Drosophila melanogaster: one gene and its partners. The protein of the gene in region 3 interacts with the protein of the main gene of each other region in a pairwise test. Each region holds a gene or a part of one and is shown on either strand. Other genes may lie near its edges. The genes, in order: ERp44, CG34404, CG15071 and mr.

What was found.
Region 1: the proteins of CG15071 (region 3) and ERp44 interact in a two-hybrid assay, tested with the Drosophila melanogaster proteins (one large-scale study listed by BioGRID).
Region 2: the proteins of CG15071 (region 3) and CG34404 interact in a two-hybrid assay, tested with the Drosophila melanogaster proteins (one large-scale study listed by BioGRID).
Region 4: the proteins of CG15071 (region 3) and mr interact in a two-hybrid assay, tested with the Drosophila melanogaster proteins (one large-scale study listed by BioGRID).

The regions. Positions count from the first base shown.
Region 1 is NC_004354.4:16,293,301-16,299,618, reverse strand, and holds ERp44 (endoplasmic reticulum protein 44), read left to right. Parts: upstream 1-1,958; 5' UTR 1,959-1,977; intron 1,978-2,379; exon of another isoform or gene 2,380-2,536; intron 2,537-2,711; exon of another isoform or gene 2,712-2,828; coding exon of another isoform or gene 2,829-2,843; exon of another isoform or gene 2,844-2,948; intron 2,949-3,031; exon of another isoform or gene 3,032-3,134; 5' UTR 3,135-3,252; coding exon 3,253-3,309; intron 3,310-3,348; exon of another isoform or gene 3,349-3,487; coding exon 3,488-3,572; intron 3,573-4,304; coding exon 4,305-4,396; intron 4,397-4,500; coding exon 4,501-4,894; intron 4,895-4,964; coding exon 4,965-5,231; intron 5,232-5,305; coding exon 5,306-5,504; intron 5,505-5,578; coding exon 5,579-5,723; 3' UTR 5,724-5,766; downstream 5,767-6,318. Other genes in the region: CG3632 (uncharacterized protein), read right to left, coding at 1-79, 148-343, 409-599, 779-1,770, 1,835-1,958, 2,829-2,843.
Region 2 is NT_033777.3:15,363,389-15,369,404, reverse strand, and holds CG34404 (uncharacterized protein), read left to right. Parts: upstream 1-1,739; 5' UTR 1,740-1,970; coding exon 1,971-2,258; intron 2,259-2,582; exon of another isoform or gene 2,583-2,606; coding exon of another isoform or gene 2,607-2,741; exon of another isoform or gene 2,742-2,808; coding exon 2,809-3,058; intron 3,059-3,115; coding exon 3,116-3,445; intron 3,446-3,500; coding exon 3,501-3,634; intron 3,635-3,696; coding exon 3,697-3,998; intron 3,999-4,059; coding exon 4,060-4,770; intron 4,771-4,828; coding exon 4,829-4,961; 3' UTR 4,962-5,472; downstream 5,473-6,016. Other genes in the region: CG14868 (uncharacterized protein), read left to right, coding at 1-339, 392-499, 558-645, 704-842, 899-1,469; CG6171 (uncharacterized protein), read left to right, coding at 5,637-6,016.
Region 3 is NT_033778.4:18,695,045-18,697,888, reverse strand, and holds CG15071 (uncharacterized protein), read right to left. Parts: upstream 1,305-2,844; 5' UTR 1,256-1,304; coding exon 635-1,255; 3' UTR 544-634; downstream 1-543.
Region 4 is NT_033778.4:23,970,879-23,975,935, reverse strand, and holds mr (morula), read right to left. Parts: upstream 3,506-5,057; 5' UTR 3,428-3,505; coding exon 3,365-3,427; intron 3,304-3,364; coding exon 2,787-3,303; intron 2,731-2,786; coding exon 2,492-2,730; intron 2,417-2,491; coding exon 2,236-2,416; intron 2,177-2,235; coding exon 1,475-2,176; intron 1,424-1,474; coding exon 1,160-1,423; intron 1,095-1,159; coding exon 853-1,094; intron 797-852; coding exon 596-796; 3' UTR 528-595; downstream 1-527. Other genes in the region: PPP1R15 (protein phosphatase 1 regulatory subunit 15), read left to right, coding at 1-58; CG3065 (uncharacterized protein), read right to left, coding at 4,039-5,057.

The DNA of each region.
Region 1 (6,318 bases), on a different chromosome or scaffold from region 3:
AATTGGGACCATTTCCAGAGCGATCGGCGAATTTGTGTCCAAAGTTCAGCCATTCACGCTCGACAAGAACGCGGAACCCCTGCAAATACAAGCAAGTAGGTAGAGTATTAGTCCATAGAACACAAATGTTGATGTATATCAACGTACCTCAACCGTTCTGTAGTAGGGATCCAAACATAATTGCGCCGTGGCCACGATCTGTGGAGTGCGATCCCAACCGTCTGAGCAATGTACAAGGACGGGTCGTCCATTCTTCTCGATGGTGTGCACAACGGTCATGGTGGCTCCCAGCAGACCCGACAGGTGCTGCATCCACATGGTCTTTTCCAGTTGTCCGTACCAGCTGCAAGAATATGATTCCATTACATAAATATATATATATCTTTAATAATCAGCTAGTAAACTTACTTTGGATCATCGGGGGATGACGCGCATAGCTGTCGGACAGCGTGGAAACTCTTTCGAATGGCGTGGATGTTGCCCAAGTTCATAAACTCAATCTCTGCACAGGGATAGTACTCGATGCACTCACAGCCGCCACCTCTGGCACGATTTGTAACTGCGGAGGTGTAGCTGCGAGCATCCACAATGAGGATTTTCTGAAAGCAAATACAATTTAAGAGCAATGATCAAATTATTTCATTAGCACTTGGCGGTTTTGACATCATTTTACTGCTCCGTGTTAAGTAATTTATGATAATTATTCATGAATGTTTTCTTATATGGTAACTGAAACCTTCATTTCAAGAATACCCGGCTATTTTGGTAATAAACTTACCTTGATTTCATCCAGCGTGAGTTCCTCATGCGAGGAATCGTCCAGAGATGGTGAACTCTTGCCGGATAAGCCCGACTGGCCGTTGGTCTCCTTGGAGCCCTTTGTTGGTTGCGCCTTTGCATTGGCGCAGGTGGAATGCCTGGCGTGCTCGCCCCTGTCAAAGGCACAGGCATCGGCGAGTGCCTTGAGTAGCTGCTCGTCCCTTGTGTTGCGCCAGCCGAGCCAACCGACCTCCGGCTGGCTGCATCGGGCCAAGATGGCACCCGACTTTTGGTGCCGCCAGACGACAGCCGGCAGCCTTCGTGATCCCCGGAAGTTGGCCACGTTGTGGAGCATCTCATCGGTGATACAGCAGGGCACAAGCAATTTGGGTGGATACGAGGGACAGAGCTTAAAATCGGCATTGGCCGTGGAGATGCGCCACGAGCCCTTCAGATCGAATCCCAAGCGGGCAACCTCGTTCTTAAAGTCGCTTTCATAGCGCACTGATCGTTGCAGGCGATTGCTCATGGCGGCTGAGATGGTCTCGCTGGCAGGATCGGGCAGAGGATTCGACGCTGTGACGTTGGCTGTTGGCTTTGCCAAGCCATTGTGTAGCGTTAGGCAACGATCCTTGGCAATCAGGCCGTTTCCGTTGGCCTGGGCGCTAACGATACCGCTTCCATTGCCACTTCCGAGCACATCGCAGGTCCAGGAGTAGAAGGGAAAGGCGAAGAGTGTCTCCAGTGACTCGGGAACCCCGATCATCAGATGGATCCGGCGCTGCCAGTCGGAGCACTGTTCCGCCGACGGAAAGGAGCAGCGCACAGTGCTGGCATCCTTACAATTGACAATCAGCTGGAACAGATCTCGCACCTGTACGGATTCGATTAATCCCAATGGAACGTAGGTCTCGTAGCCGGTTGACTGCTTGGAAAGGAATATCCGATAATTGGACAGGGCGAGGATACCATCATCCGTGCGCCCCAGGTACTTAATCGATTCGCCGGCCACTAGTGGTATATATACTATAGATTAGCATGTGTTATCGGTTACAGCATATGGGGGAACACCTACACTCTTGAAACGGGACGAACAGCTGGGAGTCTTCCTTCTCCATTTGTGACTTTGGATACGATTCGGCGGCACGGATAAAGCAAATCGATGGAGGCGGTGATCCATCGGACATTGTGTGAATCGGCTAAAAGAATACTTAACATGTAACGTATTCGAAATTACTTATTTGCTTATATTTAGGCAAGGCGATTTGGGTGTCATTGGAAATCCGGTTATCGCTTATAAGTGCATATATCTCTTATATCCACCATCCGAATACATAATTACGCACAACAGTGTGTGTGCGATGTTATTGGGACGATTCGATACGTATAGTATAGTGGCTCCCATAAATAAATAAATAATACTATGCACATATGTGCATGTGCATTAAGCAGTGCACAAACAAAGCCAAATAAATGTCACTGGGATGATAAATTGGGCACAATCAACACTTTTAGAACAAATCGAAGTTAATATTTGAGTTTTTGAGTGTCGTGGTGGCAATATAGATAATGCACTGCATATATATGCACGTATGGATGTACAATGTACAATGAACATACATTTATGTGAGCACACACAGTTGCAGTTCCACAAGGTGCGCAATATATAGTATGCACATATTTGTGTGTCGCTGCATTACATACGCACGCACATATATACCAATAGACTAGATTATCACGATTTCATAGCCAATAGGCGAAAAATGGCCGATTATCGTACTCAACGTATTCTAATGGCCGTGTATGTTGTCATAAACAAAGTAATTAAACATTTACGCATGTGTATGTTTGCATAAACTCATATGTATATTTGTCTATGTAGGTATGTTTGTGTTTCGATATTTCGGGGAGCAACAATAACACATTACAATCGTACATATGTATGCACACACATTTGGTTTTTGGATTCCACAAACCGTTCGCTCAGCAGACTTTTCGGGGTATTTAGCTCAAAACGTATTGCCGAATTGAAAACGCGCTTGGCTTCTAGATTTTCTCGCTCTATTTACCACCATAAAATCCATAAGCGTCAGCTATTATAAACAAAGATTTGCAAATGTTGTTGCACATACATATGTATGCATATGTATTCATTTAGACACTTTTTGTTTCATTTCCATTGAAATTGCTATCGTTGTTTGCTGCTATCGCTGTTATCGCTGCTGTTAGCGATGGCCAAGTCATGTGACTAAGCTATCGTTACTCGATTGCCGATGAGATGTGCATTCGAGACTAACCAACACTGGCCAGCCGATAAAATCAACCAAAAATTTGTAAAACTTAATAATTGTGCGTACGTTTGCATTCCATTCCAGCTGATGTGTAACTGAAATCAGAAAAAAAGAGAACCGATCGCTTGGACTCTCCGCCGGTGCACGCAATTCTACGCCCACTCCTCGCCAGCCGCATTCGCCATTCGGAAGCCGAACAAGAATGTTTGGAGCCAGAATCGGAATCGGAAAGCTTGGGCCGTGTGTGGCCCTAGTTGCGGTGAGTCGACGTGTTCCGTTCTGTCTGGTCATGTTGCTGGTCACTGGAGTGGCTCACCCGCTCGATCAGCGGGCGGGGAAACAGTGGGGAGGGGCCGGCCAGACAGCCCCGGCTTTTTTTTGGCTCCCCCTAACCAAATAACTAACTAACCAGAACTGACATCCTATGGAATTTACAGATTCTACAGCTACTCCAGTACACACAGCCGGCCGATGCCGCCGGAGCCGTGCCCATGACCAGTGATAATATCGATATGACCCTAGGTGAGATATGCCCATACCATAACCATCACAGTCATCCCCATGCCATTCCCGCTGCCAGCGTGAGCGGGAATCAATTAGCCGACTTGTCCCATTGACGTGTCACTAAACAAAATCACTGGCTCGCTCAATTCGGCACTGCCAACGTGGTAAAATAAGTTTTATGCGCTTTCGTAAAGGACAAGGTGTGGAATTTGGATAAAACTTAATTAGGGCGGTTTATATTTCATGCTGCATCGGTCCGATAGTCCGCCAAAATGGGCACTAGCCATTGGTCGGCAGTTCTTTGCTCAGAATGTCCGAAGTTTGGTCTTTGCATGAATAGGTCCTTTTTATACGGTGTGTCCTGTACACAATCCTGCGGTAATACTATATTGTTTTTTTAAAGTTATTTTTTTTTATTATCCAAACGTTAACTTTTACAGTAAAGCCTGGCCTTAGGCTTGCACCCCTTAAATTTTAACTTTCGGAAGTTATGGAATAGTAGGATGCTAGAAATTTCTTGACTTTAATATGTATATTCAGCGACAAATTTAAATATATTCCATAAAAATACATATGCATTTAAATTATTAATACATAAACCCGTAATTCAATATTGATATAAATATATTACCAAATATATGTTTTTAAAAGTTATTATATTTAGTATCTGAACGGAGTTGTATTCTACGCATCAACAATTTTACACACAATTTGGTGCCTACATTAAAAACACGTTTTGTTTTCTTGCAGCGTCTAATGAATTGGTTTTCCTTAATTTTTATGCGGAGTGGTGTCGGTTTAGTAATATTTTAGCACCTATATTCGCGGAAGCTGCAGATAAGGTGAGTCAAATGGATCGCCAGTAAAAGCTTACAAACAATGCGATACATTCATATACATTTTATATCGAATAAATACGTGGCATTCAATCGAATTTCTCTTACAGATTAAAGAGGAGTTTCCAGAGGCTGGAAAAGTGGTGCTAGGCAAGGTCGATTGCGACAAGGAAACGGCCATCGCGTCCCGTTTCCACATAAACAAGTATCCAACATTGAAAATTGTACGCAATGGGCAGCTCAGCAAGCGCGAATACCGAGGACAGCGTTCAGCCGAAGCGTTCCTCGAGTTCGTCAAGAAGCAGCTGGAGGATCCCATTCAGGAGTTCAAATCCCTGAAGGATCTGGAGAACCTGGACTCGAAGAAGCGCCTCATTCTGGGCTACTTCGATCGTAGGGACCAGCCAGAGTACGACATATTCCGCAAGGTGGCGACAAATCTGAAGGAAGACTGCCAGTTCCACGTGGGCTTCGGAGATGCCGCCCAGGCCATGCATCCACCAGGTGAATTCTATCAAACGCACCAAGTCATGCCAAGCCAATACTGAATGTCAGCTTTTTTGGTCTATTACAGGTACACCTATCATAGTATTTAGACCTGATGTAGCTCTGTCTCATGAGAACGATGAGACCTACACTGGCAGCCTACAAAATTTCGATGAGCTCAAAATTTGGGTCCAAGAGAAGTGTGTACCCCTGGTGCGGGAAATAACATTTGAGAATGCAGAGGAACTTACGGAGGAGGGTCTGCCGTTCCTAATTCTCTTCCACCACCCAACCGATCATAATTCTATCAAGGATTACAAGTCGATCATTGAGCGTCAATTGCTGGATGAGAAACGTAAGATGAATCATCGTGTTGTTTACTTTGCATATAAGCATTTGGTTTGACATTGTATTTTCGAAATTTTGCAGAGAACGTCAACTTTTTGACCGCCGATGGCAAGCGATTCGCGCATCCTCTGCACCATCTGGGTAAATCCGAGGATGACTTGCCCTTGATTGCCATCGACTCGTTCAAGCACATGTATCTGTTCCCCCACTTCAGTGACATGTACTCGCCGGGTAAGCTGAAGCAGTTCCTTCAGGATCTCTACAGTGGCAAGCTGCACAGGTAATTGTTATACAGCCGCCTTTGCTAACACCATGGGGCTCAATTACTAAACGGTCTGCTGCTTTGCTTTCCAGGGAATTTCATTACGGGCCGGATCCCTCAAATGATATTGAACCTGACCCACACACTGGCAAGGGTACATCGCCACCAGAGTCCAAATTCAAGGAACTTGGCCCATCCAAGCATCGCTACACCCTGCTAGAAAAAGATGAACTGTAATATAATAATAATAATGTATATTGAAAATAAAAGAAAATAATACAAAAATGTAATAATGAGCAACCTTCTCTGAAAGCAGATCAGCAGGTGAGCGGTTATCCATGCAAATAGCGGGCGCAGCAGCCTCAATTCTCTTCAATGCAATTCTAAAAATAAAAAGTCTGGATTTAACCACCTTTGTTATTGCAAAAAGAAACAGTTGCTGAATTATCCACAAATTGCACGCGTCACTTTTCAAGTTTTCCTCGTTTTGTTGTTAAAAATTACGCTGGAGATTTCGGCGAGGCGAACTTATTGAATTCTTTGGAATCCCCTTCTTAGTCAGCTAAGCTGGAAATGAATGATGTCAACTTCCGAATTCAAAGCAGTGATTTTGATTTTCTCTATATATATATATATATACACATATATATGAGCTATATATGTATACATATATATATGTTTATTCGTATGTACCATGTTACAGTTACAGTTGTTAAATTAGATTACATAATTATATAATATAATTCAGTCAAAACGAGCGATAACCGTGTGTGTGTTGGGATAAAAATCGGTTCAAATGAAGTCGTGTGCTGGCAATTATCATTTAAAAGTT
Region 2 (6,016 bases), on a different chromosome or scaffold from region 3:
ACCGAAGTGGAAGCCCTGAGGCAGCGGCTCAACGAGCTGCATGGCGACATGGAACTACTCCGGGAGACGGAGGCCAGCAACAAGTCGCGGGTACAGGCAATGGCCAGCGAGAATGCCGCTCGCAACAAGGAGGAGCTGCAGTGGCGTCGTGAGCGGGCAAACTTTATCTGCCACCTGGAGGGCCTCAAAAAAAGGAATGCCCAGCTGGCCTTCGACCTGAAGGCGGTGATCGATGAGAAGGAGGAGCTGATAACCGAGCGGGATGCCTACAAGTGCAAGGCACACCGCCTAAATCATGAACTCTTTGTGGCCCTCAGGGCGAAGAAAACGCATCCAAGGGTGAGTTAACTGATGCTATATAGTACTTACTTGATAGTTATTGATTTTCCAGCTCCTGGACATCGATGGTGTTTTGCTGGAGAACAAGTACCTGCATGAACGTGTGAAGATCCAAGACAGCGAACTGGAGCTCACCAAACAGAGCATCAATAAGTACAAGGTACTGGTATTAGTTAAGACTTATTACCATTTTATTTATTTATATTTAAATCATTCAGACAATGTTGGATGCAAAACGAAAGAAGGGAATTGTAAAACTTGGCGGTGGGAGCACAAATGAGGACACCATTCTAAGCCCCCGGCAAGGTGAGTAATTATATGGTGGCCACCTCTTTCATGCCTTTCTAATTTGTTTGTACCCTAGTGAAAACAATCCTCGAGAGTGGCATTGAGCTGCCTCAGAAAACCGAGAGCTTAAGCGATCTAAAATCCTTGTGTCTGGCCCTGCTGGACAATCTCAACGACAAGAACTTGGCCCTGACGCACCAAAAGAAGACCAACAAGTAGGAAAATCCAGCTGAAAGTTGATATATATTTCATAAACCCATATTTCCTGCAGAATACTGGCTGGCAAAATGACGGAGCTGGAGCAGCGGTGGCAACAACTCCTCTCCGGAAACGATGACAACGCAGAGGAGCAGGAGGAGGACGTGGAATATGGTTATGCGCCTTCGCAGCTGCTCCTCAATGGCTATTGTGCCGCCATGGTAGATGACGCCGACATCAGCAGCACTCCGTCCATTGAGCCAGATAACGAAGGCGTCGCCATTACAGCGGATCATGAAGATTCAAAGAAGCACAAGTCCGTTGAGGCTCTGCATTCCGACGATGGAATGTCCTCGCTTTCAACGGAGTCCGTGGATTCGTCTGTGTACGGTGCAGATGTGCAGCCCGATGACTTCCAAAAGTCTTCATCCGCCACAACAGATTCGGGCAACTGTGGATTGAGCAGCCGCTGCAACGGCACGCCACGAATATCCAGTGCAGTGGCACGGGAACGTATGGAGGATCTGAAGGACCTGCCGCCTCACCTGGCCACTCTGGTCCAGAAAGCACTTCACGATCTGGACATGCGGGACTACGAGGCTATGGTGACGATACGAGCAGAGAATCTGGCGGCTATTCCTTAGAGAAAAACTAGTTCAATTGAGGACTCCCAAAGAAATGGATGAAACCATATCTCAGTGTTGACAAAAGATATAATACATATATATATTACCGCAACAGCGTACAATAAAACCAGATTATATAAAATAAATCACTTTATTCAATCGATATTGCGTTGAAACTGGATATGTACAATAACTATAGCATACAGTTTTAAAAGACGCGCCCAAGTTATCGATAAATAATATGCGGAGTGTTGCATACCGTTAGCATAAACACACTCTCACACACTCTTATTTCTGGGTATACATTTTCTGATAAGAATGCAATAAATATCCCGACTGGTTGGAGTAATTTCGAGTTTTTGAATTAAAAATGCCTTAAGAAAAGTTTTTAATGAGCCATGTAGAGTTAACACCAGTGCCACATATCCTGGGAATGGAGCACCAATCAAAAGTCATCATCAAGCGGCCCAAATCAGGCCAATTCTAGTCGGAAAGTCGTTGCAGCCGCCCATTGCCACCATGTCGAATGATGTGCAGGTCGCCCGGGTGGCCAAGATAGCTACCGATGTGCCGCGTCGCAGTGGCAAGCAGCGTGACTCCAGCGGATTCCAGGGCAAGCACTCCGGCAGCGCGGCTGGCGAGGATTTCGAGTACGTCTTCGGTAGCATTTCGCCGCGCGGTGGAGGACCCGGTGGCAGGCACTTGGTGGGATCCTCCGACCTGGACTCTCCGGAGCACACGCAGCGGGACACCACCGAGAGTGACAACAACATATCCAGCTGCTCCACGCTAGACATTGTCAACAAAGTGAGTAATGATGCCCGCACTGAGAGAAATAACTAGATCTTAAATCAAAAAAATCAATATATTAATTTGCAATGATACATTGGTACTAAACATGATCAAGTTCATTTTAAATTAATTTTTAAAATGATCACAAAATATTTAAAAATACCTCATTATTGTGTAGTTTAAAATAAGAAACGCAGAATTTTCAATCATTGGTTTTCAAAGTGTTTCGGGCTTTAAATTCGGTTGGCGTCCAGTGCGCAGATGCGTGTGGAAGGCTGAGGGTCAAGTTGCAGCGGCGGAGAGCGCGGATGCATCCGCGGTCGGATGACGACGTAATCGCCAGTCAAAATTTTCCACTGGACCATGATTTCGGAGCAACTGCTTCCGCGCAGCTTGAGCTGCCTGTGCTGCAGCGATACGCCATCGGTGCCCAACGACAAGAGACGCAGTTGGGAGTATACGCTGATGGCTCATCCTCTGGCCAGACGGCCCATAAACGTGATGACCCCAAGAATAACCACTTAGAAAGCTCTAATCCGCCTCTTTTCTTTTGATTCACCTCCAGGTTGAGCAACTGTCGGTACAACAGCTAGAAAACCGGGTGCGGGATCTAACGCAGCGTCTGCAGCAGGCGGAAAGACAGCTCACTGAGAGCAACACAGAGCGGGAAATATGCCACAAGCGCTTGGAGGTTGTCAGCCAGGCCCACGAGTGTCGCATCACAGAGATGCACTGTGTCATCGCCGAGTTAAGCAAGAAATTGCGCAGTAAGCAGGACCACGTTATCATGGAGGAGCAGGAGCCCGACGGCAGCGGTGCGTAGCAGTTTCAAATGAGGGAAACAAACCCCTAACCGACAGTCTTGTTTTCAGAACTCAGCTTTCAGGAGGGTTCAGTGTACAATTCCGAGCTTAACCTCACCAATCCTGATGCCGAATGTCAAACAGAACCACTGGAAGACTTCGAGGGCGCCTGCAGTACCACCAGCGTGGGTAACGTTGCCCACAAACCGCCGGAACTGAGCCATAAGGGACAAGTGGAGGCACTGCAGGAGGAAGTTCTGCACTTGAGAGCTCGAATCGCCCTCCTCCAGTCCGAGATTTCCACCAAGGATGCTGCTGTGGTCGAGGAACAGACCAAAGTCGCCTTCGACTGCGAATCGGAAGTCAACGAGTGCGGACAGCGACTGAATGATTTGAATGGTAATATAAATAATCCTGATGATAAAAGAATGGTTACACATTTAGATGCTTTCAGTTTGCACTTCCTTGACAAGTCCGCAAAAACGCATTCCAGCGGTACCGAAAATGGCTGAACGGGTTAAGTTGCGGTGCGCCAGCAAACATGAATCCGGAGAAGATCCATCCCAAGATACTTCATTGAGCAACGAGGTGTGTTGACCAAAACTTTATTCAGAGAATACATTTCAACCCATACAACCCATAATTTTAAGCAAATTAATCTGGTCGAACATTTGGTGTCGGAGCTAAAGGAGCAAAATCTATATATGGAGAACTTTATGGAGCCCCTACATTTGAGCAAAGACTTGGAGCGACTGCAACGACGTGTTGAACAATTGGAGATGCGAAACACCATGCTGGCACTGACGCTAGACGAATGCAAGGAGCACACTGAGCATCTGTATCTGCTATGCGGAAAGTACGAGTCCAATGCGGTTGCTCTTCAGTTGGCGCTTAATTGCAGTGATCGCGCCATCGAGGCCTACGACGTAATGTTGGCTCTGCTCGAAAGCAAGTAAGTACAATCACCATAAGACGCGGGTTGTTGTCCCTATTTCACAATTCATCACTTCCAGGTTGGCACTGCTGGGGGAGAAATCAGTGGCAGCGGAAGAGAGTCGACGATCGGTGGAGGCGGTGGCCAGGCACCTGCTAGCCCGTTTGGATAGCGAGAAAAACGTTTGTGAGAACAGCCTGGGACCGTGGCAACACAACATCAACCTGGGCCCAGAGGATGCCCCAAAAACTGGCCGCCCGTGGTGTGCCGACGACGACAACCGCCTGCGTTACCACGTCTCCAAGCTGAAGGGACGTCGTTCCAATGTCCAGCATACCATTGTCAGTTTGGAATCACCCTTCAGCGACATATACGAAAGAAAGCGCCTGGCTTTGGAAAAGGAGCACGAACTTCGGAGCGCGGACAAGAAGTCACCCATTGACTTGGAGACAGCAGTGATTATGCAAGAAATACTCGAGCTGCGGGATTCGAATTTGCAGCTGAAGACAAAAATGGAAGAGGCCGAGCAGGAACGGCAGAACGCCAACGAACGAGTGGGCATACTCCACGAAGCCCTAAAGCAGCTACAGGCAAACAACCGGGTCTCGTATTCGGAGGCGGAGCATGCGGCTCTCACAGAGCAGCAGTTGGTGGAGGCCTTAACTCGAGAAACGGAGCTCAAGGGTCGCATACAGACGCTATTGGCAAATGTAACAGCTTCGCAGAAGGCCTTCGACGAAAAATACGAGCAACTGCATCAGAACGTGCGTGAACTGCAGAAATCCAACCAGTAAGATTCGTTTTATTTTGACTGTTTCATACATAATTTCTTCATATTTCCCTTTTAGCAATCTGGGCCAAATGTTAGATCACACCAAGCGCAAGTACCAGCTGCGGGTGAGGAAGCTAGAGCAGAAGATTGTTGACCTGCGGCTGGACTACGAGCAAGGCCATAACCATGTTCCTGAGACTACTCTGTAGGAAACGCATGACGACCTTCCAGGAGGACTGAGCAACTGGGCGTGGAGCGGGCGCGCTTGTCACATATCCCGCAAAAGATCTTTCCCTCTCGATCATATCGCTTATTTTACCTTTAATGCAATGACCACCCGCCCAGCAGTCGCCGTGGATCCGCCATGACCAAGACAGTATCACGAATGTGCCATGCGACTTAATTGCAGTCGGCTGGGGCTTGGGCGGTGTCCCTGCCTCGCAGATAAGGCTGCAGTAACTACATACTCAAATACATACATATTCAGAGGTGCCATGAGCAAGGCTCCACCAACCTATCCATAGATCCGTGGGATTGGAGCATCCGTCTATGGGCCACAAGCAATTACATATACACACATACGAATAGACAAACTAAGGAGTTATTCAAGACGCATACACGGGATCCTATATTTATACAATGTATTCGCATTTTGCTTGTTATATGATTCAATATGTATTTAAAACTGTACAAAATATAAAACGTCTACTAAAACTCGATAAAATTCACGAATTTGAAATTGGCTCCAATAATTAATCGATAAGCTAATGAAACTAACTTAAGCATCCATCACCATTTCGTGTAGTGTTGCAAATCACCAGAATCAAGTATATGAGTACTTGTGAAATAAAAATGTTTTGAAAATTTAACTTAATTTACTTAAAATGAGTGCCACAGATGCATCTACAGCCGATAGTGGCGCTAAACGAAAATCTTCTGAAGATATCACACACAATTGCAACGCAAATTTTGGCGCAGAAAACGGCCTAAGAAAGCGCGTAAAATCGGAGGAGCCTGTGGCGTCCATTAAAGATGAAACAAATCCTGAAGTTCCTATGAAAATAAAAGCTGAGCCAGTGGAGAATGCAGATGAGCCCACAAGCACTACTCCTGCGATCAAGATTAAAGCCGAACCAGCGGACAATGGAAACTCACCTGCAGCTGCGATGGTAAAAACCGAGCCCACTAATAGCAATGCACAGGACGCCGCCGACGAGTCTACCGTATCTTCAAGCAGTATTAGGACTTCTTGTCGCTTCGGCAT
Region 3 (2,844 bases):
TTGGGGGGGGGGGGGGTAGGGCTGAAAAAAAAGTATGGAAAAAACAGAAATGCCATTGCCACGTGCCGTTTGACCTTTCCCCATTGGTCGCCCGGCGAATGCGATGAACCTCAAGCTCGGCGCTCGCAAATGAGACATTTCAAAATAATCGCAACCAGAAATACACCAACAACAAGTATAGCAGTCGTGGCAGAAAATACCAGTGTCGCCTCCGTTTGGGAATCCTTCAGCCGAAGGCGAAAAAAGTCGCATCAAAAGGTCCTATTGATTTAAAAGGCAAGCAGCTCAAGGCAAGGTCTAAAATGTTGTTGATTACGAGTGTCGCCCATTAAATAAGGGCCCTGAAACAATGTCAAGAATTTCAGCAATATTTGTCTGCAAATCGCAATGCATGGCCATCGAGAAAAGCATTTGCTCCGTAATACTTTTTCAAAACTAATGGTATTTGCATTTAAATTGGATTGGATAATACTTTGTAGGTATATCTACTTTTGAAACTATTCCACTTGATTTAAAGATATTTCTTTATTGTTTTGCAAGCCTATTCAAGTTATAGAACAAATACAAATTTTTGGGATATTATCTATGTGAAAAAGTGAAAAAAAAACTAATCCAAAAGTTGCTGTATATTAATCTACATGCTACCTTTCCACAACAGCTTATTTTCAATTTCCATTTTAGCGTACTGCTCCCTCAGTTCTTCGAGTTCCTTTGAGTTCCTAGCAGCCAAGCGATACAATTGGGCATTTAGGCCAACGATTCTTTCCCTTAGAGCATTCACTGTATATTGGCTAAGACGTTCTGGCCGAAAGACATCCTCCTTAACGGTGGCCACAAAATGCCACATATCCTGAAGCTCTCCACGCTTTTCGCTGCTATATAGCTTAAGTTTTTCATGGAGCACAAGTTTCTCCTGTTCGATTTCGTTGATCAGACCTATTAGATCTGCCGTGGAGGAACTGTTGGGTCGTGGATTTCGACCAGTTTCCGGCTCTTGGCAAGACTCGGTCTTTGAATCTGTGCCCTCATCATCTTTGAGTATGAAATTATTGGGATTCAGCTTGACTTGATTGCATTCGAGATATTTTTGCTGCGCCTTCAGGCGCGTCAATTCACACAGAATGGCGGTAGGTGTTAGTTTTGCCGCCCTGATCTTGGGCGGAATTTTAACTTGATTCCGTTTACGAGCGGGTTTTTCCGGCGGTTGAGCCCTTGGAGCCGTTGGCTTTTGTTCATCGTCTTTTGGATTTTCCATTGGGGCTTCGGTAGCATGTGATTGTTGCACAACATCCAAGGAGAGAGTCGTTGCAACTTCTGCAGCGCTCGTTTGGTTGTTCTTATTTACACGCGGTAATCAAACGTGTTGCCAGCACACCCAACCACCCACCCACTCCTTCCACGTGTTTAATCGATATGCAACCTTTCCACCCCCCTCGATTTTTCCGGCTGCTGTGCCAACAATTCTATGCTTCTGCCGGGGGTCAGTAAACTTTATTTGGCTTGGCTGGATTTTACAATTTTCCAAACGGCAGCGGTAACTTTCAGTGGAAATGGAAAATCGATTAGTACAATTACTGTTTCCATGTCATGGCCTACTTAATTGCCCATGGAAATGGGACAAACGGGGTCGTGGCTTGAAGACCACTTTCGTGGCTAACTAATTTCTAATCAGTACTTGTGGGAGACCGGGAAAATCCACCTGCTAGCCAAAAACTCAAGTGACGATCAAATGTTTGGCGAGCTAATCAAGTTTCAATGGACTAACAAAAGTATAAAGTAAAAGTAGGAAATACAACAGTGAGCCTTGCTTTAGTGGAACTAATATATTAAATCACAATCTACAATCAATGAAATCAAAGCTAAGAAGGTTTATATATTATGCAAAAATGTTCGTTATATTTAAGATTCACTGTTAACTAACGAAATTCGTTTATATTTAAATTGCCTTTTTTTTTTATGTACGGCTAAAATTGCTGGAATTACAAAAGTGCTTGGTATGGAAGTTTGACTGTTTGTGCGGATGAAATGTTGATTTATTATTTGTTTTGCTATCGCCTGCAAAGTCAAATCGGGCAGCATTAACTTGGCGCGTGCTGTTTGTCTTCTGTCTCCCTCCCACCCACCAGCCACAACCCACTTGCGCCCACACCACCCACTCCGCTGTGCGACAGAGACAGAGAGCGAACGCACGTGACTGATTTGCGAATTTACTTTTCTTGCGATGACAAAACATCGTGGATGAAAAATCAGCAGAAGAAGCAACTCCACTGATAGCATTTGTGCTTATCATTGGAATGTATGTATGTATGCGTATTTTTTTTTTTTGCTGCAGATAGCATAGTTTTGTTAGTATCAAAAGCATACAAATATGAACGTGGAAATGCAAAGGAAAGGCAAAAGGTCGACCTTAGATTTAGTGCGCATAATTTTTTGGGTTTTGTAAACACACACACACACAGTAGAAATATGATAAAAACCGCAGACACACGAATGGTGAGCTGCAAAAAGCCGCGAAATTGTTAATAAAAAGGTAAATAAAAATTGTTAAACGATTTCAGCCACCCATCTCGCTCGCTCATCATCTCCGTCCCGCTTGCACTCGCTTCTTTTCGGTCTGACGCGTGTTAGATGTTCAAACATGTTTTCGGTCTGCTGGCCAAAAGGCAACGCTCAGACGGCAGCTTAAATATTTGCCCATAGCGAAAGATCAATCAACAAATGTGAGCGAGACGGTGTGAATTGACCAGAAAGAGACGGGTAGAGCATAGGGCTGCACAGAGAGAAATAATATCGACATATAAATAATGAAATGTATAGTAGCATACAGTTTAAACAGTTTAAAAA
Region 4 (5,057 bases), 5.3 Mb from region 3:
CCTGACTCCAGTTCACCGAGATCGTGTCTACCAAGCTCGATTCTTGCACGAGGACTAGCTGGTCCGCATACCTGAAGTAACTTTTGATGTACAGATTACAGTTTAGAACGATTACAGCATTAAATTCCAAGTTGTTTGCGTGTATAAAGTGATCGATTTAGCCACTGCGTTCGTGATTGATTTTATGAAGCCAAAAACTGTTTAACCTGTAAAGTATATCAAAACCACGTACACTTTTCTTCGCCTTTAGTTTTAGAGCCCTAAGAAGTTTGAATTTGTTGATAACGGGATTAGCATATACCTTAATATAACTTGAAATAAATTAAGCAATAGACGTATTTTACTGTGTGTTCTTCTTTTCACATAAGATTGCTTGCATTGTGTTCCAAATTCCCAAGCCAAACAAGTTTGGGTAAAGACTTTGTGTGTACGTGGGTGAGAGATAAGCTCTGAATAGAAACAGATAAGACGGCAGTTTGAAAAAATAGGTACGTTTAACATGGAGCAGTAAATTTCATAAATGTTATCGCGTTAATTCATTATTTATTTCATGATTCCTTCAGTCGTTTGCAACTTGGTTTTGGATCTCCGAAACTTATTTGGCCAATTGGTAAACTCCACCCGAGAATATTAGCTTGTGCTCCCTGACTTTTCGCTGGAGAAAGTGTTTCAGCTCATCCTGAGTAAACTCCACTCCGCCGCTGTGGGAGGCGAACAGCTTCAGCATCTGGTGGATTCGGTCAATTGGCATGGAGTCAAGATTCGTGAGCATTCCAACAATATAGGACCAAAAAACCTGCGGCATAATTGTATAAGAAAAAGCCGGAATTAGGAACAGTTGAAGGCACTTACTTGGAGTTCTTCTTCCCTTTGATCGCTGGCAGAAGCCATTGCGGATTCCAAATCCTCTTCGTCAGCTTCTGCCAGACTCATGTCCTCGTACTGAGACTTCTCCGATTCCTTTTCCAGCAGCGTGAATATTCCGGGTGTCGTTTCCGAGATCAATCCGTGGTTTTGCCAAAAACTCAGACGACGCCGCAGTGCAGACGCTGGAACTTTCGTAATGGAACTAAGATCCTCGATAGTCCATTCATCTGAAAAAAAAATATGACCATGCGGTTGTAAAACTGTAAAACTTGACTGCCCTGTAAACACGTACTCTTAGTTTGAAAGTGGTATATAATAACCGCCAAAATGGGGCTCACAACCATTTCCATGGTCCGGTCACCGATCTCGATTTCAATATTTACACGGCCAGTCACTGTACGCCAGTTGAGCGTACGGTTGCCCTTGTATGCCTCGTAGGCCTTGGTGTACTTCTTGAACTCATTCTCAATCTCCTCAGGAAGTTGGAGGCTTTCTTTATTGAAGGACGGCCAAAACTGAGCAGAAACAATCAGCGAGGAGATGTCGAACAACTGATCTAAAATGAGATGGTTTCGTTAAAGCATTTTGAAAATTAAAAGTAACTCACTTTCAGTTCGGTCGCCATCGCTGTGGATGTGCGCGTTAATTCGCTTGGAGTCGGTTACGTCTTTCAACATCACCTCGCAGCTGTGCAGCAGCGATTCGCCAAAGCGGATTTTCAGCAGTTCCAGATTTCGAATTTCTTTTTCGGAATTAAAATCTAACTGGGCCAGCAGTCTGTCCGCCATTAGATTGCGATACTCTGTCATAAACAACTCCTTACTGCCGTATATGTCTACAACCATCGATATAATGTCGGCCGATCTCATCTTCCGCGAGCTGTTGTACTGCATAATGCTGGCATCTATACCAAACGGATCGGGTTGCCAATTTTCCCAGTTGCTGAACTCATCGGTACCCGAGTCCTTGCATTCCTTAATTGTTTCTCCCTTGGCGAGTTCCTCGGATAAGTCCGTGGGCCCCTCTTCAGTCAACCCAGTGACTACGCGTCGCACTGTGTCGTTTCGTTTCCGCAGGTAATCTTTGATTGGAGCAGTTACCATCTCTAAGATGACTCCGGTACTATCCAGATGGCGAATAGCTTTGATGGCTGCCACGTAACCCGTTAATATGTCCATGGTGTTGACTCCAGGATGCAGAATCCTTGCCTCTAGCGAGTTCCTAAGGGATTCAGTGAGGTAGACTCGCATATCTATTTTCTCCATGCAAATCTTTAAGTCATCTATAGCCGGAATGGAATCGGGATAGTCTGTTTACAAATAAATACATGTAGTTGGGGGACTCTTGGCTGAATCTACGGGCACATACCAATTATAATGCTGAAGAACTGACCAATAACGCTTTGGGCAAACGTTTCGTACATAAAGTAAGTCAGTTTGACTTTGAAGGATTTTACAGACTCGGGAACTTCGATATCGCTTATGCTATCCTTAGACTTCCATTCCGTGAATATGTTTGTGAGCCAGGACATTATGACATCCGATAGCCACTGCAAAGGTAGGTAATAAATGAGTTACTTAAGTAGTTTATTTATGACAACAGAAGGTATTCCCATTCAACTTACAGTTTCCAGTTGCTTAAGATGACTTCTGTCGAAGATTCCCATGCATGTATCGCTGATGTGCTCCTTGATTTTAAGCTTGATGAGAGCGGTTAAAGCACTCCCAGTTAGACGGTCAATGAGGTTCATCTCGAAGAGCTTCATGTTTGTCTTGTTAACCATATCCGTCAGCCTTTGGCAGCAGCATTGCTCTGCTTCGAAGTTGCAGCCAACGCAGAGGAGCTCATCGAAAACATCAGAGTCTGAAGGGGAAAGCAAGTGAGCATGGGAACCACAGGAGTATGTATCGGATACATACCAACTGTGGTCAATGCGAGATTTGAGGCCTTGGTGAAGAGCTTAAAGTGCACCCAGTAGAAGGCCCCAACGACCACACTGAAATTGGGTGGCAGTTGAGCCAGCAAGCAGTCCCTTAAGCAGTTCTTAATGCCTTCCTCCTGCATGAGCTTCACCGTCTTTGCGGTGGGCTTTGTCTCAGCTCCAACTAGCTGGATCAGCCTGGGCTTCACCTGCATCAGGCTCTGAAAGCTGTCATGCAGCTCATTGATGGCGTCGATGAACTGGGTGAACAGTCCGTTCTTATCGGGCAGTGCTTCTATGGCCAGAGCTTGGTCGTTAATCCAGCCCTGCAATTTAGACGAGACCAAGCCGTCGTGGATGTGCTTCCAGAACTTGGGCACCAGGACATTCCGAATAGTCGACTGGATTTCCAGGTCCACAACCGCCGCGAAGGTGTCTATGCTGCCCAACACCATCAGGTGCTGGCGAACATTTTGGAATACATTCTCCTCAACCGGATCATTGGATACAGCGTTCTGTAAGAGTTTCTGAGTGCTAGCGCCAATCCCTATTACTGAACCGAAGGAATAAACCTACCGCTCCACCCAAAACCGGAAAGATTCTCAGTACATCCGCCCACAAAGCGTCAAAGTCGCACATCGCTTGTGTGTAATTATTTTAAACAGTGCAAAACATTGCTTGAAACTCTGAATCAAACGCCAATGGTGATGATAATGCTGTTATCGATAAGTCGATTCTATCAACCGAACCGATAGTCGATGAATCTTTGATTTATCAGAAATTATACATATATCTATTATTCATTCTTATAGGCCATTATTAATCATATTCCAAATTTCAAACTGGATCGAGTCCTGATCCTGATGAACTATCAGTTCCCCATCAATTAGCCCATAAATATAAATAACAGTTTTACTAAAATAAATTATATTAATAGATACGGGGAGCTTAGTAGCCAGAAAATAAGAAACAGCAAGAGTTTCAGAAATACAGATGTATGTCTTCACGTTCCGGCAAACACAAACAGTTAGAGCTAAAATTAAATTGCATACGACTTATTTACATACATACATACAAATTGAGATTTGAGAGCCGGCGCTGATCTTGCATAGGAATATAGTTAGATTGCGAATTTATTTAATTTTATTGTACTGTGTGCGTCACCCGACACACGCCCGTGTGGTAGCCAATATCGATTGGATGCGGATGCCAATGGCTAGCGACTTAAGGAGTAAGGAGTAACTATGAAACTATCGTATCTTCAAATGCGTCTGCTGATGCTTTTTCAAGTGGTCGCTCCGCACAAACCGGCGACAGCACTGCTGACAGGCGTAGGGCTTCTCCCCGGTGTGCGTTCGTATGTGTCGGTTGAGGTCGTCCTGCCGCTTGAACCGCTTCTCACACTGCCGGCAGTAGAAAGGCCGATCCTGAACGAACTGGGGCATCCCATACGTGCCGGGTCCGTCCGCCGGCGGTAGCTGAGAGAGGGTATTTACAATTTCTTCGGTCGGTTCGTATTTTACCTCGGGCTTCGCCTGGTTAAGGAAATCGGGCAACTGGCTCTGGTTGTGGCCATGGTTATCCATCTGGTGTTCAGGAGATACGATCTGGTACTTGTCGCTGTGCTCCGGCCGTTCCAGCTTAATCTTTATCGGCTTGTGGTGGATGTCGATAATGCTCACGGGCTGCTGGTGCTGGTTATGCTGCTGCTGCTGGTGGTGGTGCTTCATGCTCGGCTCCCCGCAACCAACCATGGCGGCCATGAAGTGGAAGCCCGAGTCCGACTCCGAATGAATCTGCTTCTTCGGGGGCTTGAGCCGGACTCCACCACTGCTGCTCGGTACTGTTCGCTTCGGGGTGCTGCCCTTTAGCTGGCGGTCGTGGGTAGCTAGGTGCTTGGTGAGGTGGTCGCTGCGGGAAAACTTCTTGGTGCACTGGATGCACTCGAAGGGCTTCTCGCCGGTGTGCGTCCGGAGGTGCCGGTTGAGCTCATCGGAGCGCGTGAATCCCTTGCCGCACTTGGGCTCGCTGCAGACGAAGGGCTTGATGCCCGTGTGCCAGGTGAGGTGGGACCGCAGGTGGGAGCTCTTGCCGTAGCTCTTTGTACAGTTGTCATACGGGCAGACGAACTTGCGCTTGGGATCGGAGGCGAGCGTCGTGGCCATTAGCTTCACACTGGGCATTATGCGGATCTTAGAGTTGCCGTTCCCGCCGTAGTGCGAGTCGTCCTCAGGCTCAGTCTCAACTCCGTGATGGGGCACATTCTCCA